2 linked regions of the Arabidopsis thaliana genome follow. The protein of the gene in region 2 interacts with the protein of the main gene of each other region in a pairwise test. Each region holds a gene or a part of one and is shown on either strand. Other genes may lie near its edges.

What was found. The genes of interacting proteins can lie anywhere in the genome.
Region 1: the proteins of SHH2 (region 2) and EML2 interact in a two-hybrid assay, tested with the Arabidopsis thaliana proteins (one large-scale study listed by BioGRID).

Annotation. Positions count from the first base shown.
Region 1 is NC_003076.8:2,093,371-2,099,086, reverse strand, and holds EML2 (Emsy N Terminus (ENT)/ plant Tudor-like domains-containing protein), read left to right. Parts: upstream 1-1,847; 5' UTR 1,848-2,275; intron 2,276-2,676; 5' UTR 2,677-2,709; coding exon 2,710-2,817; intron 2,818-2,885; coding exon 2,886-2,995; intron 2,996-3,089; coding exon 3,090-3,198; intron 3,199-3,310; coding exon 3,311-3,469; intron 3,470-3,995; coding exon 3,996-4,064; intron 4,065-4,269; coding exon 4,270-4,497; intron 4,498-4,574; coding exon 4,575-4,643; intron 4,644-4,740; coding exon 4,741-4,804; intron 4,805-4,893; coding exon 4,894-4,940; 3' UTR 4,941-5,199; downstream 5,200-5,716. Other genes in the region: AT5G06790 (cotton fiber protein), read left to right, coding at 370-999. UniProt on the Arabidopsis thaliana protein: Probably involved in the regulation of chromatin states. Contributes to RPP7-mediated and basal immunity, especially against Hyaloperonospora arabidopsidis isolate Hiks1. Regulates negatively EDM2-dependent floral transition.
Region 2 is NC_003074.8:6,310,167-6,314,935, forward strand, and holds SHH2 (DNA-BINDING TRANSCRIPTION FACTOR 2), read right to left. Parts: upstream 3,241-4,769; 5' UTR 3,016-3,240; coding exon 2,962-3,015; intron 2,610-2,961; coding exon 2,524-2,609; intron 2,428-2,523; coding exon 2,382-2,427; intron 2,283-2,381; coding exon 2,081-2,282; intron 1,916-2,080; coding exon 1,840-1,915; intron 1,724-1,839; coding exon 1,672-1,723; intron 1,589-1,671; coding exon 1,445-1,588; intron 1,361-1,444; coding exon 1,241-1,360; intron 1,106-1,240; coding exon 836-1,105; 3' UTR 553-835; downstream 1-552. Other genes in the region: ATSYTF (C2 domain-containing protein), read left to right, coding at 1-90; EMB1865 (CRS1 / YhbY (CRM) domain-containing protein), read left to right, coding at 3,406-4,326, 4,731-4,769.

The sequences.
Region 1 (5,716 bases), on a different chromosome or scaffold from region 2:
AATATTATAGCTATTGATTGACAGAAATTAGCAAAGATGTGAAAATTGTAGTTGAAATAAAGAGAGTACAGACTACAGAGAAGCAATGATCAGTGTCAGTTACTTGAATCTAAAGTCACTTCTTCTTTCTTTCTTTCAAATCTGAGATTTTCCTAGTATTCGTTAAACACGTCAGATCAAGTGGGCTCACACACACCACCCCGACCACAATTAAACTCTCCAAAGTAGAGTGGCAATGGCATCCCTTTAAATAGTCCAAAAGTATAAGGATATTTCAGTCAAACCCTTCTTCATAATATTTGATGTTCAACTAGAAATAAGCCTTTCCCAACCAAAGATTTAATTTGTAACAAGAGAAAGAGAGAGAGAATGGCAATGCCACTCAAATCAACATCTTCTTCTATGTCTTCTTCTCAATGTTCATCTTCTTCTTCACCAACCTCAAGCTCCATGAAACTCAAATCCCTAATACAAACTCTCATCATTTCTCAAGTTTGTCGGCTACTCCGAGAAATATCTAGAGTTTCATCCATTCTTGTTAGAGTCTTGAGAAAGAAGCAATACAATTTCTTGTCAGTGTCTTCTTTACTCTATCCAAAGAGAGTCTCAAAGAAACAAAAGAATAATATATTATTCGGCTCCTTCAGACTTCACTACAACTTTTGCTCCTCTCACGTAGTGCCTGTCTCTGCGCCAGTGCGTCTCCCGGAAGAGCTCTACTTAGCTCATCTCGTACACGAATCGACTTGGGAGTCAATGTACTCCACTGAATCCATGGATGGTCGCGATGATGATGATCAAGAACCATCTCAGCTCTCTAGCTATCTAAGACAGCTAGAGGATAAAGTTAAAGACGGCCAAGAAGAGGAGACAGAGACGATGATGAATGAGATTGATAAATTGGCTGATAGGTTTATAGCAAATTGCCATGAGAAGTTCATGTTGGAGAAAGTTGATTCATATAGGAGATCCCAAGGAACCCTGAATAGAAGCGGTTGATAACGATGATGATGGGGCCTAATTTGTATCTTTCATTTCTTTTTATGTGATTTCACTTTTTCCTTCTTTTCTTCTTTTGAAACTCCTCACATGCATAGTTTGAATTATCTGAAAATGTGTATTGGAAGCATAGGGATATATGGATTGTGTGGTGTTTGTTGTGTTACAGTCTAATGATGATGATATTGATGGTGGTGGTTTATAAACTAGAATAGACGACAGTCCAAAAAGGAGAAGAGAGGATACAAATGGAATGGATTTTTGTAACTTTGGCTTTTGTGGTTTATGACGTTCTTTTGCTACTATCTTCTGATATTGTTGTTTTCTTTTGGTTGTATACAACGGGACCAATTTCGATTTTCAGTTTACTTATCTGACTTTTCTAAGATCCATCAGAAATAAAATATTTCCTTAAATAACATCATTATGCAAAAAATTAAGATAGTGTAACCTTAAAAATGCTAGACAACATATAAAACAAGTTATATTTAAAATATCAAAATGTTGATAAAATTTATAAAGTGTAAATTTTAATTTTCAAAATCTCAGTTTTTCCTAAATTATATAATTGTATTAACTAAAACTACATTAATTTAAAATTATTTATTAACTTTATGTAATATCAATTAAAAATAATATTCATATATAGTTTAAGCTTATGCATAATGGAGCTTATATATAGATAATTTTATTTTTTATGATATATAAAAAATTTAAACATTAAATTAACAAGCCTGATTCTAAACAATTTTAGCATAAAAACCAACTTTTATTTATTATAAATACAAGTCTTAGTTTAGACTTTAGAGACTCCAGTAGAGGTGCCTTAAAAAAAACATACATTTCATATTTTCATTAACAGTTTGGGCCAAACAGGCCTATGTTATCATAAAATAGGCCCAAAATGAAATTAAACAAAAACGCATCGTCTTGTCTTAAGCTGCTTCCGACCAAACTAAGGTTTCTCTCTCCTCCAACTTGGAACTTCCCGTCTTCGATCTTCTCTTCTCTCTCTCTTCATCGCACGCTGTGCCCAGCCAGCTCAAAACACTGCACTTCCGCTTTTTATCAAGATCAATCTCTACCAATACTTAGAAAAGTTCTTTCCTTTTTGTCAAATTCTTTCAATTTCTCTCTTCAATTCCCTACGAATTACTCACTTCGGATCCAATCAGCTCTTTATAGCCTCTGCGTTTGGGAGTCAATCTTTCTCTCTTCGACAATTAAGGGTTTCGTATAAAGATTGCTGTTTTACGACAGGATTCTGAATAAGGAGGTATAATTTCTGTTTTGTACTTAGTTTGAGCGATTTAAGACATTTCTCTTTTGTCCATTGAGAGATCTAACAGTTCTAGGGTTTGAAATATCACTGGAGTTTAAAAAAAAGGGTTTTACTAAATTATTCTCTTTCTTAGGGTTTAAGATATTCTTTTCACATTCTATTAGATTGTTTGATCATCTCATGTCTATTTTTTTTGCTGTCCGAATATTCGCTTAAACTAAAGTTATCCAATTTCTTGATACAATAAGTCCACCAATAAGCTCCTACATTCTCATGAGACCTCGACTGTCAAAATTATTCATGAATCTGATTAGTGCCAATGTTTTTCGTGAAGTACCTGAAAATTTAGTAGTTTGTTAAACTATTGATGTTATAAAGTGTTTTCTACATTTCAGAAGAAGGGTTGGTTTCATTTGGATGGAAAGTATATGGTAGGTCTACACATTAATATGGAAGCGCAGATTCATATACTTGAGCAGGAAGCTTATTCTGCTGTATTAAGAGCTTTTCAAGCACAGGCTGATGAATTTTCTTGGGTAAGTCCTCTTTCTTCCTTTTGCCATCAAAAGACAAAGGATTTGGCTTATATGGTTTCATTTTATAGGATAAAGCAACCGTGATGACAAACCTACGTAAAGAATTGAGGATATCTGATGATGAAAACCGACAACTGTTGAACAATGTCCATAATGATGATCTTATCAAAAGAATAAGGTAACGAGTCTGATCATTTGTGATAGTAAAGCTATGAATCTAGATTTCGTTGTATCTTGTAATAATGTGTTGTATGATGGAACTGGACCAACAGAGATTCGAGACCAAGAGGTGGAAACCAGGTTGTTAGACATCAGTCCCTCGATGTTCATCCTAGTCCGACTTTTTCAGCTTCTCGGAAGAAACAGAAGACGTTCCAATCCGTAAGACTTCTTGTTTTAATCTTTGGTCATAGAACAACAAGCAGAGGATATCTGTATTTGCATATGGTTTTCTGTTTATTTACTGATCATATCATTTGTGATACACATGCAGTATCCGTCGATTGGTTCTACTAGAAGTAAGTCATTCAATAACCGTGTAGTATCAGCAAATGAACCTGCGGAAGCTCTTATTGGAAGAAAAGTGTGGACAAAATGGCCTGAAGACAACAGCTTTTATGAAGCAGTAGTTACACAATACAATGCAAATGAGGTAACTTCTGATGGCTGAGACCTTTTTATTGAGATTGAATCAGAAATTCATATGTTCAGCATTATATATGTTTGTGTGTCGAGGTGTCTCCTGTACTTCGAATATCTGACTCCAAGGCCTCAAAGCCTGATCGAAATTTACCGTATAGTTCAGAGTTACTCTAGTGAGTGAGCATTGCAATTACTTTAGGTTGATTGTAACTGTGTAGAAAGCTAAGCAACTAGTCGAATCGCTTAGCTAGATAGCTCACTAGTTAAAAAGGAAGTTTAGGCAGAATGAGCCGGGGTACTCTGGATTAGTCTAGGATCATGGTTTAGGCATTTGTCGAAAGACTTCTCTAGTTAATCAAGTCTCTCTATAGTGTAGTTCTTGATGAATTGAAGAAAGGAGGTGTTTACTGTTAATGTGCATATGAGGCGTTGAAAAGTATACTATGACTTTGATATATCTAGAAGTTTGGAACTGTATTTAGCGTTGAACATAGCTTAAGTATATTGTAATTGATGCATTCATTGTTCTCTCGCAGGGTCGACATGCGTTGGTATATGATATAAACACAGTGAATGAGACATGGGAATGGGTTGATCTTAATGAGGTAATCTTCACGAGTTTTTGATATTATTAGGTTTTTAAGTTTTTTGTGGAAAATGCTGCCAAGAATGTCTTTTGGGTAAAGTTACATTTGTTTTTGGAGGTAGCTTTCATTAGTAAGATTACGTGGGAAACATTTGTATAGTGTATCCACCTAGTATGAAAACATTTTCAGCAGAATCTGAAGTTAGTTAGTTATATAATTGTAGATTCCAACGAAAGATATAAGATGGGATGGAGAGGAAGATGGGGTAACTTTGAATGTAGGACATGGCGGTGGAACAACTCGTGGGAATCGAAGGACCTTAAGCCATGGTGGTAGAGGGAGAGGTCCAAGAACTCAGCCAAGAAGAGAACATTTAGCAACGGAAAACGGTGGTGGGAGGAAGTTTTTCGGTGAGATTGAATTGTTCAACACAGACTCACTTGTGAAAGAGGTAGGTATCTCTATCTCTCTGCATTTTGTTTCTCTTTAGGCAAAAAGGGTTTTTGATGTCGAAATCTTTCGCATTAGGTCGAGAGAGTTTTTGATTCAAACCTTCCTGATCCACATGAGCTTGATAAGGCCAAGAAGCTACTCAAGGTGAGCGATATGATAATTGATAAGAACTTTGTGACGAGATATCGATTGAAAGAAACAGTGAAGTGAAACTTGGTGTTGTTGTTATTGGATGATATAGGAACATGAACAGGCGCTTATTGCTGCCATTGCAAGGCTTACGGATGCTTCTGATTACGAAAGCGGTAATAAATGTGAACAGCGGCCTTTGTTTATTTCTATTTGTCATGCACTAAGATCACTAACAACAACATAATTTGTGCTGGTGAACCAGATGGAGAAGAACCGTATTCGCATGAGCTTCCAATGCTGCTGGGGTGAGTATGTATGACACCATCACCCCTAGGAAAAATGACTAGCAATATTTCTTTTTCTTCTGTTTTGCTTTAAGGGATCCCAGAAAATGATTTTGTTCATATATGATGAACAATTAGTAGTATTCTTCTAATTTGTGGTTTCAGAATGTATGAAAATAATCGTTAGGAATTTTGTTTGTAAAAACACTATTTTTAAAAAAAAATTCTGAACTTGTGTGATCATCATCAGGCTTGCCATCAGGATCGTTAATAATTTACTTGCTCAAATCCCCAATTCCTGTCTAAACAATGTAAAAAGAATCGAACCAAGCATGTAAATATTGAGAAGAGGCTTTTGACCTTTGAGCATAACATTCAAAATCTGATTCAATTAGCAAGAATATAAGATGGAAAGTGAGATCAACATAAATCACCTGTCACTGAATCCTTCAATTTTAAAAATATTTCAATGGTTACTTTACTTCAATTTATTTTATTGTTTTAAAAAAATATATTCAATGGTTATAAGAACGGTTAACAATAAATTAGTATCAGGGTTATCGTCTTATCGACCCGATGTTAGAAATTTTTTATAATTTTTCTTTTGTTAAAATGACAATCTTAATTCTTAATGGCAATTATATGTTCAATCTTAATGGCAATCTTAAACCGATCGATTATTCAAATTATATGTTCCGTATTTTTTTTAGATTGAATGTTATTGATAGAGTTATCAGAAAAAAATACTACTTTTTAGTTTAAATTACTGTGATTATGATAAAAAATTAAAACGCGCCAAAC
Region 2 (4,769 bases):
GAGCAATCGCTGCTTATCAACAAGATCAAAGACCTTGGTAAGGAGATTCTTAACTCATCCCCAGCTCAAGCCCCGTCTCGAGATTCTTAACTCGTCCCCAGTTCAAGCCCCGTCTCATTCCCCATCTCGATCAGGCTCGGGTTCGGGGACAGGATCCTCCTATAACCGGAGATTACCCGCACCAATGTAGTCACTTGTTTTTCCCGATCAAACAATCATCTATGATGTATATAGATAGATATGTAGGGGCATTGGATAAAATGTTCAGAGAGAGTTGAGCCCTTGTTACAAAGTTAGATACATATGATATGTAACATATCAAATCTGTAAGTTTCTTATTATTCCCTTTGTTATTCTGTAACAATAAAAACTGTTGTAATTGTTTGTAAAACTGTTGTTCTGTGTCTAGGCTGATCAGTCATTTACAGAAGCAAAATAGTTCTTTTGACCTCAAGTGTTATCTAGTCTCCTCAGCACAGTGAGATATTTTTCAGATTAATAATTGGTTAATTTCTCATCCCCACAAATGTTGTAAAGCTAAATGACTCGAGGTAAGATTCCTAACTTGTAAACTTAAGCCTTGAAAAGAATAAATCCACATGATTCGAGCATGTTTGTTCAAAAGAGTAAAAAACCGGTGACCATCAACAGATGATGAATAAACCGGACTAAACCATAAATATTCCATCATACATGAAGGATCAAGTAACATGGCATGATACAGCTTTAGATGACTAATTCATTGTGTGAGAGTACAATGCATATGATCCCAAGTTAACCTCTACTAGTAACTGTGAAAAATGGCTGTTACAAACGGGGATAGAAATTACATGGCCTAGGCTGAACCAGCGGGAACAGTAGCTGCATTGGAGCTAGGCTGAACCAAAGTGGCTGGAGTGGCACTCAGGCTCGGATCTTTTGACTCGGGTGCAACAATGGGAACTGTAGCTCCGGGTAGTGACAGAGGGGTTTTTGCAGCCGCATCTAGAGCGGGTATCTGATGCTGATTTGAGTTAGCCAAATCGTTTACGGCGTTGTGAAGTTGTTGTAGCCTGTAATCTGTCTCGGGCCGCCGACAAATCTTCCTCAAGGGAACGATTTCCTGCTGGGATAACGGAAAAGAAATCCAAAATAGGTGAGTGAGGAGGGTTTTGCTTTATGGTCTAAACCATGAAATGGAGCTGACGGGTAAATAAAACCGCAAGGGATAGAGAGAGAGAGAGAGAGATGATCGTCCAACCTCGGACTGGTCGTGGCTGTAACGCACCAAGAACCTACAACGACAACCTCTGACATCATGTCTTCTTCTCTGTGCGTCAAGAACAATGGCGTCAAAGTAAAGAGCTTGATCTTTTCCTTCCTGAAGATGTTATAACATAGTTCTAGTCAGGGATAAACTAACATGACACCTATCACTAAATGCTTAGAGAGCGAAGTTCTAAACCTGGAAACAAAGGACGAGATCTCCAGCAAGAACTGCAACACATTCTGATGCTTCACATGGGAGAGACCGTTGTCTTACATGCTTTTTGACATTTATCCATTCATCTTCTTCAACTTCGAAACCCGCAAATCGAACCTGCACTTCCTGAAATACCCAACAGAAAGATTGTTGTTAGCAAAACAAAAAAGGGGAACAAATAAGTCAACAAGAGGTTGGTTAGGAATTACCGGATCACCAATCTCCAAGTTTCTATGAGCTAGGAAAGCTTGCACATCATACCTGTAAGTAAGCAAGAGAGTTACATATCAGAGAAAACCAGTGGAATGTAATGATATTGTTACAAAGTATCATAAGTCAGCAAAAAAAATACTGAAGATTGAATGCAAGGGAATCACCATGCACCATCCCTGGCAGATTTGGCTTCAAATTCCAAGTAAGAGTTGTCTGAACCACTCCTCATGACACCGGGAACTATGAGGAAAAGCAGTAAACAGTTACGAAAATGGCATCTGTGCAATATCAGCCATACTGATCTAGACTTATGGAGAAAAAACTAAAACTGAAAAAACCAATGAAACCTATTCCAATAAATAACCTTCTCAACCTATTTTACTGAGAGTAGAATAAATAAAGCACCTAAACTACCAGAAGGGGCAGGCGTCATGCCGGGTAAATTTCCAGTCATATGAGTGGTTTTAGGAACTGATAATGGTTGAATCACACTTCTCATCTGATTTGGTAAATCCATACGCGGCATGGAAGATACATTTAGCTTCCCAGGAGCTTTGTTTCCCCTTGCTCGTAAAGCATATCGCCTATTTTGAAACCAGTTCCAGATCTGTGATGCATTAAAACAACATTCCCATTAACTTTTAAAAGCAAACCCAACAGACTCTGTCTGATAAAACTTAAGAATCAAGAAGGAAAAAGCCAGTACTTGCTTGAACTGCACAACAACTTTCCCCTTCCGCTCAGGTGATTCACTGAGACAACAGATAACAAAAAGTAACCACATTTTAGATGATAAAGACACAAAATCACTTTCAGGCCAAGGAATTGAGCAACAACAAGTAAAATACCTAAACTTATCAGCAAGAGCTTCAAGAATATGTCGACCTGGCATTGCTGTATTATGCTGTAGCAAAATTGCTTCCATCTCCGTTACCTTCATAACAATTGAAGATTAGCTATAACAAACAAGATAAAACCTCTTCAAAAGAAGTCACAAAACCATAGAACAACAGATAGATAGAAAAACTTATGTATTATCAAATCTAAACTCTTAAACATTACTTAATAAAGTAAAGCCAATGGATTTCAGAACATACATCGAATTGTCTTCAAGTTTCTACTAGCTAATTACAAAAATTCAATTGGACTTCAGGATCTAAACCCTATCATGAACCCAAAAAGAAGACCTAAATCCTAAGGAACAAAACCGACACAAAAATCAGATTTTTCAGCTCTGGGAGCTCAAAATCCGTGAAAGCAACACATTACAAAGAATCGAGATAAACCTCAGGCAGGATAAATCGAAACGCCGGACCGCCATTACTGGGAGGTCGACCCATGGTATCTTCTTCGTCTCACCGAAGAAAAAACAAAAATTGGCGGCAGAAAGTGAAATCAATCGGAGCTTCTCTCACTTAATATTCGAATTCACGGTGAATCTCTCTAGTACGGCCGGTGACCCAACGACAACGAAACCGGTTTTACTCAGACCCGACTCCGTCGCTTATATAACTTTTCACCTGTGTAATTTTTTTAAACTTAACATGTAGTAATGGGCTTTTAAAACCCATTAAAGGCCCATTTTCCTAAAACCGATACAAAAATCTTATCCGTATGGTCGAGTAAATCCAGCTTATCCGCCTGAAACTTATTTCTCAGTATCCAAAACGATGGCGAAGAAGACACTTCGCTGAAGCTTTTTTTTCCAAAAAAATTTCTTAGTGTCGTCAATGGCTTTGGCTCCACTTAATTTTACGGAAATGCCACTGAGAAGCTCTCTTCCTCTGACCTCTAGCTCTCGCTATTGTTCCTCTCCTTCGCTTCACGCATTGCTCTTCTATTCGTTGGGTGTGAAACCCTCGCGTCAACAAATTGTTCGGCCATTCTCTTCGCTGCGTACAAGCGAGCGTAGCAACAACAGGAGCAATAACAATCGTCGATTAGATCAACGTAATCATAAACCTACTCCTCCTTGGATAGATAAGTGGCCTCCGTCATCCTCCGGAGCTGGCGGTGATCATGCCGGGAAGAAAGGTGGTGAAAACAACGGCGGAGATAGAATTCGGTCTGCGGAGGAGGAAGCGGAAGCGAAACTTCGGTATTTGGAGAAGGATAAAGGACAAAACGCGATTGAGAGGATTGTTCTTCGGCTACGGAATTTAGGATTAGGTTCGGATGATGAGGACGATGTGGAAGATGACGAGGGAGGTGGAATTAACGGCGGAGATGTGAAGCCGGTGACTGGAGAAGAGAGATTGGGGGATTTGTTGAAGAGAGAGTGGGTGAGACCTGATATGATGCTTGCTGAGGGAGAAGAGAGTGAGGAAGAGGATGAGGTATTATTGCCATGGGAGAAAAATGAGGAAGAGCAGGCGGCGGAGAGAGTAGTAGGAGAAGGAGGAGTGGCGGTGATGCAGAAGAGGAGAGCTAGAGCTCCATCACTGGCGGAGCTCACCGTTGAGGATTCTGAGTTACGGCGGTTAAGGAGGGATGGAATGTATCTGAGGGTTAGGATCAATATACCAAAAGCTGGGCTAACGCAGGCAGTGATGGAGAAGATTTATGATACTTGGAGGAAAGAAGAGCTTGTGAGGCTAAAGTTCCACGAAGTGCTTGCTCGTGACATGAAGACGGCCCATGAGATTGTTGAGGTTCGTTAGTTCTCTTGAATACTTCATTGATTAGAACAGTAGGTTAGCGAAATTTGAGGTGCGAGATTATTCCAAGAGAGAGCGGTTTTCATTATCTATTGGGGATAAGCTTTGCGGAAGTGACATGATCTTTATAGGATAGTAAGAGACTCTGAAGTACCTAAGCTCTGAAATAGAATGGTTATAAAGCTTTTATAATAACAGTAGGAAATTTGTGAAAAACGTTAGATCTTTCTTGGGAACGATTATATAGTTGTGAATAAGGTGAATTTGAGGTGTTGATTAACTAGAGTGGATGGAGCTGAGCATGCTGTTAGAATTCTTTGAGTAACAAGACTGTGCAGGAGATGCATGTCTTAACTTTAGGTTTAAAAAAAAACTGATTGAATTACTCTAATGGGCAGCGTCGAACTGGTGGAATGGTGATATGGAGGGCCGGAAGT